Regions from separate parts of the Mus musculus genome. Here region 1 is reported to be linked to region 2. The links are microRNA targets in miRTarBase. Many come from high-throughput screens and were not tested one by one. Region 2 holds a microRNA gene; the other region holds the end of a gene's coding sequence.

Region 1 (3,406 bases), not on the chromosome of region 2:
AGCGTTATAGTTTTAGTAATGTCAGAATGACAATGCTAGGGAAACCTGCAAACAAGAGTAAATGTAGGGGAAGTTGTGTAAGGACTCAGGAACACTTCCTGCAAAGACTTCAAAGGAATATCCTGAATTATCCATCAATGTGAGTGTAGGCCTATTTTTTCTTATCTGTAAAGTAGTCATAAAAACACATAGGGAGTGTGCAAGGGTTAAGTGAAACAATTATGGCATGTGAGTCCTTTCTGGGTGCTCACGTCATCTTGCCACTGGCACAAGAACTCTCTTCCCTCATTCTAAACACAACTGAAGTGCAAGTGGAGGTTTGAATGGGAATGGACCCTGTAGGCTCATATATTTGAATGCTTGGTCTTGGTTTTGGTTGGTGGAAAGGTTTGGGAAGGACTGGGAGGTGTTTGGCCTATTGGTACTGTGTCACTGGAGATAGGCTTTAAGGTTTCAGAAGTCCACACCATTCCCAGGTAGCTCTCTTCACCCACACAGAAGCCTCACACTTGTGAATCACGTCTTACACTCAGCTATGTCTCCAGCACCATGTCTGCCTGCCTGCTGCCATGCTTCCTGCCACGATGGTCATGGACTATCTCTGAAACTGAAGTTAAATGCTTTCTTTTGCCAGGTGTGGTGGCGCACGCCTTTAATCTCAGCACTCGGGAGGCAGAGGCAGGTGGATTTCTGAGTTCGAGGCCAGCCTGGTCTACAAAGTGAGTTCCAGGACAGCCAGGGCTATACAGAGAAACCCTGTCTTAAGACAAACAAACAAACAAACAAACAAACAAACAAACAGCTTTCTTTTATGAGTTACTTAGCTCTTCACAGCAATAGAACAGTAACAGAGAAGTAGTGCTATATCAATAACACACGGTAACTCAAAAGAAAAAGGTTTTATTCTGATATATAAAACAAAAAATTTAATATATAATGACAGATTTTTTTTTGAAAGAAGAAATAAAATGGTAGGAGTTCTGTTTAGAAAAATACTCTCAGGCATCTGCTAAACACATGTAATTCCTCACAGGCAATAGCTCACAAAGGTCTGACCTCTTCACTTAAATTTTTTTTCTTTTGAATAAACTGATACACCAAGTGACAGTATAGCCGAGAACAAGTCTTATAGGAACTTAGCATCCTTTTTTTTTTTTTTTTGGTTCTGTAATATTTGTCTTAGTAAAGCACATTCCAGATCACTGCAGCAACATGGAAACAAAACAGTTGCTTTTAGCAGTTTAGAAGCCATGAGTCTGGGTGCCTGGATCCTCACCGAGGCCCGGGGAGTATCTTGCTCTCCTTGTGTGGACACTCCGCACATAACGGAGAAACAGGCACAGGGCAAGGAAACGATCCTTAACCAAGGCCACCTCTGCCCAGGAAACAGTTCCCCAAAGGAAGGAACAACACTATTTGACAGTATGAGTTCTGGACAAAGGCCAATGCTGAGATGCATTCTCCATCTGGCATTCATGAAGTCAGGACAGTTCTGCGTCTTACCAGCAGGTGGCACTAGACCATAAGGGCAGCAGCTGGGGCACTCGACCTGGAAGACGAAGATGCTTTAAAACCTTTATTTACATGAAGGAGTCACTTGGTCAGTTTGTCCTCAGTTAATCAATTGGATATTCTCTCCCAACACTGTATCCAAACAGAAGGCGCAATTCATATAAAATTTAACTGGGTCAGACATTGATACACCACCTCTAAGGAGAAAGAAAAGTGATCTGTCAAAACTATTTAAGTTCCACGGTGACTTGTAGTTAAGATGATTCCTGCCACGGATCGCTATTCTAGGAACAGGCACTGACATGCTCGAATCTCCTCTTATAAAAATAACTAGCTAACATGCACATTCACCCACGGCTGCGGGCCTTCAGAGGTACGAGACTCATTTCTACTGAAGATGCCTTAAAACCGCCCTAGTCAGCCAACCCAGAGGAAACACGGATGGAACAGTTGGCTTTTAATCCCACGTGCTACCACTGGCCTCACCTTCTAGCCAGCAGAGTTGCTGGGCTCCTAAATCCACTGGAGCCGCCGACAGCAGTGACCGCCTGACTGTCACGGCTGGGGCAGCTCCGCAGATGCAGGGCGTTGTAATCCCAGCGGGTCTTGAGTATAGTTCAGAGGGCTTTCTGAGCTGGTTGTAAACAGTGTGGAAACAGACTCTCTGTGATGGAGCCCAGCCATTGCTCTGTCACAGCCACACGGGGTCAGTGGAACACTCGGGCATCACAAGATAGTTTTACATGAACTGGTTAAAAACATGAATTTTACTGTTTTTAAAAAGTTATCTATAAAGCTTCATTTTAAAAACAAGTATTTAAAAAAATGTTAAAAATACTCTCTGCACTTTTGTGTTGTGTTTCACTCCACAAAGGTTCTGGACAGGCACTGAGGCCTGGCCCAGATAATTTGCAGTTGTGCATATTTTAAGTTTGTGGAAAAACCCTATAAAAATAGTATTCTTGTTTAAAAGTTTAAATAAAGAATAAGGTTGTAGGAATGATGATGAAAAAGAAAAGATGAAGTACACAATTATTTTTCTTATTTTAAAATTGACATAAAAATGGAAAGCGCTTCTCTTTGGAGTCACTATATATCTAACAGTACTACATGCTATTAATATTTGCCACTCATGGGTCTTGGTAACACACAGTCTGTCTGGGACTCTAGCCTGCCCAAGTGGCTCGAGCCCTAGAGTGTAATGGCTGGCCCATGTTCCTCCACCCCTCCTTGGGGGAGGACCAGGCTGTGTCGGGGGTCTGGCTTCAGAGAGCTGAGAAATCTGTGGATGCTGCCGTTGCTCTCCCTCCCAGAGCTATGCAGGCTCATGTCCCTTCTGTGCAGCCCGTGAGCAAGGCTGGTGCCATTGGCCCTGGAGAGGCTGCCTGGAGGTACAGCCTGCGTCTTGGGAATGTGTTGAGGTTCTAGAGCCCCTTCAATGACAATGTCGGCTTCCTCGTCACTCTCCACGTCCTCAGAATTCTGCAGGACATGGGCACCTGGCAGGCTGTGGTGACTGGTGGTGCTGTCTGTGGAATGCACAGAGCTGCCGGACGTGCGGCTGCTGCGGACCACATTGTTCCTTTGGTTGGCCGGCTTGACAGTGACAATGAGGTTGTGGCTGTTGGCTATCATCATGTCTGTGACTTGATCCAAGGTCTTTCCAGCTACCTCAATCCCATTCACCTCCAGGACTTCATCATTCACAGCCAGTAGCCCAGTGCTCTCCGCAAGGCCCCCGGGTACCATTCGAGAAATGAAGATACCTGGTACCTTTTCTAGCCCATGGGGCGTCACCCGCACGCTGGTGCCATCTCGAATGTAGAAGCCCAGTGGCTTCTCATAACCGTGTCTGTAGAGCCTCACTCGGCGGTGCGTCTCCGGGAGGATGTCC
Region 2 (3,406 bases):
GCAGTTCGAACTTACAGAACAAATATGCTGCCCTATCGCCACGGTACACAGATAGAAAACATGACTGAGCTGTAAAGCCATTAAAAACATAACACCAAAGCAAATTGTCATTGTAACCATCGACTCACTGCGTAAAAACAGAGCTGATTCCCAGCCCCAGAAAGCGAGGCCCTGCTTTAAGCAATAGTAAAGTGCCTTCCATCTGCCTGCCTATGCAATCTGCCAGAAGAGAAATGCAGGCAAAGAAGTTCCCCAGACCTGAAATGCTTTTATCTATCCTTAGAGAGAGATTTTCTCCATTCTTTGGATATTAGAGCGATCTACACTAGCGCCAAGGAGGTAAAAGGCCGCGGGTTGCTTTTCAAGGAGCAGTCCGTAGTGCTAGTGGATGAAATGTTGATTGAGAATATAGGGACTGCTGCAAAGCTGCTGCTGCCGTCGCCGCCACCGCTGCCGCCGTCGCCGCCGCCGTCGCCTGTGCTACTCCTGGCAGCAGGCGTGGGGCAGTTGGGTGACCACTGATGCATATCAATAACCATGTACTTGAGATTTCTCATGACATCATCATTACCTTGGTCTCCCGCAGTCTCAAACCTTTGACCTTGCCGGGCTGGTCCACAATTTGGCGGTGAAAGCCCCTCCAATGATGGCCCTTTTCTCCTTCTTTCAGACCGGGGCAGCAGTACGCCAGCAAGAGGGCATGCTCTGCCCGCCTAGAAGTCCTAAGAAATCGAGGATCTCCCTTAAAACATTCACATACAAGATATGTGCAATCAAGCTGCCTGCACTTGGTAAAAAAGATCATGATGCCTAACCCAATGATCCGGAGCAGATCTTTGAATCAGCTGTCACTTCTATAGAATGGGATTTCCCCCTTCTTCCTCTTTAACCAGCGTTGGAAACTGCCGATGGCTTTATACATCTCAGTAGAGGAAGGCTAAAGAATCTTCCGTGAGAATGAAGCAATTTACAATGCAAATAGAGGCCTGTGAAGAGAAGGACACTGCTGCTCACCCCCAACAGCTTGCTGCACCTTAGTCTCTGGTCTTAATTTCTGATACTCATAGATGAATTGTTGGCTAACGATACTGGAGATTACTTGCTGGAAGGGGAAAAGTTTGGAATAAACTCTGAATGCAACAGATCTCATTTGGATGTTCTAGCCGCACACACTAAGACAGAAACCAGGTCATGTTTACATGAAAGGAGAAGCTTAAACGCGGCAAGTACCCCGGAGGACTACGCTTCCCTAAAGCCAAAGAGGATCGAGATCTGGAGTTCAGCCAGAGGAAGGCAGCCTTGTGAGGGAAGCGAGTTGTTATCTTTGGTTATCTAGCTGTATGAGTGTATTGGTCTTCATAAAGCTAGATAACCGAAAGTAAAAACTCCTTCAAGGTCACCGAGGAACGTTCCGGAAAGAAAGACTGCAACCAAGAGACAGTAAAAACCAGAAAGGTCAGGAATGCTTATTGAATCTAACTTTTTTTATCTTATGATTGAAAGTGGGATGCAAGAAAATTAAGTGACACGCATATTGAAATCTAAAGGGGCCAGGCTTTGAGGGGCTTGTACAACTGGAGAGGAGAATTGTGTAGTGTTTTTTACGGGTGACGATGCATGTATTTTCTATATTGTTCATTTTGAAGCAAACGTTTACATATGAGGTTTTTTTTTTCTTTTTTTTTCTTAGAAAGCTGTTATAGTGATGTCTGGTACCTCGCTTAAAAATGATTTCATAATTATGTAGATTTGGGCTGTTCCTATCTGAGGCCCCTCCCCCAAGTTTGAAGCTTGTGCCTGGAAACTTTCTATGTATTTGGGTGTGTACATCAAATTCTGTGAAGTTAGACTTTCAGTAAAGCTTATACTGGAAGGTTAATAATTTATATCTACCGAAGACTTAGAGCTAGCAGGGAAAAGGGGTGGGGGCAAAGGCTGATTTTTATTCTTCTATTCAAAATACAAGGACAGATGCTTCTCTGTTCCAAGAGGGTTTCCTTGAGGAAGCTACTGAAGCAGAAAGACATGATGGAGACGAGATCGCCTCCCCTCTTGTCAAAGTGTTAAAAAAATGTTCTGTCTTACTCTGCGCCTAGCATTGGAAATGAAAGTGACATTTACGCCACAACCCACGTGTGCGCCTCCTCTCTTTTTGTTTAAGGATGATCAGGTCTATCCAGGAAACAGCTCTGGCATCCCAAACTGAAATAATTAGGACGTATATAGACCTGACAAAAATGGAAAGGGGGTGGGGAATCTGAGGGTCTGTCTTGCCTAATTGATTCCGCTAAACGGAAAGCAGGAGATGTGAACGGCAGGACGCTCCGATTCCCACGCTCGGGGGCAAGTGGTAAAGCCTGGCCGGCAGCCTATGACAGACAGCCCTGTTGGGGGGTAGGGGTATGAAAAAAACATCAAGCACACACACACCATACTCATCTCCATCGCTTAAGAAAGTAAAGGCATTTCCCACCCACAGCCATCTGCAGCCTCCCAAATGGCAACACCAACTGGTTGGTAGCTGCTATGTACTGTCTCTGTTCATTTTTAAACCTCTGTTTAATCTGGCCATGATTAAATTTGGATTTCTCCTTTGGTTGAAATTTTCACCATTTAAGGAAAACAAGTGGAAAGGGTGCCAAGAGTGCCCCAGAACTGCATGCCCTTCTCAGAGAAGTCCTCAGTATGTGGTTAGGGCCTTGTGACCACCTTTGGCTTTTGTTTTGGCTGTGTTATATTTTAAAGTCATGTCTCATAGCATTCATTATTATGACTTACTTCATCGGGTTGTTTACTTCCTTGTGTGACACACAGGAACTTGGCCTACTTATGCTAATCTACATTCTGGAAATAAAGCTATAAAGTCATCAGTCTGTAGAAAGTTGATTACAATCACAATATGTTAGAGAACTTGTTTTGTTTTAGAATTGTCCTAGCGGATGAGCTTTTTTTTTCCCTTTTCCCCCTCCTCTTCCTTTTCTTCCTCCTCTTCCCTCTTCATCTAAAAGTCACTAGTCCCAGCATAAACTTTGAGGCTTTGGAGAAACCACTGTAGTCCTTTTTTGAAGTTCCTTGCATCCTGTTACATTTTATCAGGCAAACATTTGTATAGGCATTTGCACATAAATACAAGCATTGCAATGAGAAAAAAAATTCCAAAATTGCTTCTTTTCTTTCATATGGCCTAAATTACTGACACTCCCAAATGCATAAGTTTTCTTCAGGGACAGTACATTTTTCTTTATAGCTTCAACTTCTTGTAAGATTGACACCAGAGAAACCTGTAAAGCCACTGGTAGTTTCATTTAGAAAAGCCAAGAGACTTTAATAACACAACTTCTCAGTTTGGCCGCTGTACACGTGCCAAAGTTTGACTGCTGTAGAGGCAGTCGAGAAGACCCTTGCT

The links. The annotated mature microRNA mmu-miR-9-5p reads UCUUUGGUUAUCUAGCUGUAUGA and lies in region 2 at 1,322-1,344, shown strand. An mRNA with a match to its seed (bases 2 to 7 or 8) in the 3' UTR can be bound and repressed. Matches are read on the target gene's strand: a 7mer-m8 pairs with bases 2 to 8, a 7mer-A1 pairs with bases 2 to 7 and ends in A, and an 8mer does both.
Region 1: miRTarBase lists Pard6g as a target of mmu-miR-9-5p. Seed matches in the 3' UTR shown: 7mer-A1 at 2,590-2,596.

The regions. Positions count from the first base shown.
Region 1 is chr18:80,117,120-80,120,525 of GRCm38, reverse strand. It overlaps Pard6g (par-6 family cell polarity regulator gamma), which reads right to left. Exons shown (of 3, transcript NM_053117.3): 3 at 886-3,406. The coding sequence ends at 2,704. Among named protein-coding and RNA genes, the nearest start is that of Adnp2, 33 kb to the left of the region's middle.
Region 2 is chr13:83,737,500-83,740,905 of GRCm38, forward strand. It overlaps Mir9-2 (microRNA 9-2), which reads left to right and starts at 1,315; the gene lies at 1,315-1,386. It overlaps C130071C03Rik (RIKEN cDNA C130071C03 gene), which reads left to right. Exons shown (of 4, transcript NR_152245.1): 4 at 671-3,406. It overlaps Gm51268 (predicted gene, 51268), which reads right to left and starts at 1,377; the gene lies at 1,322-1,377.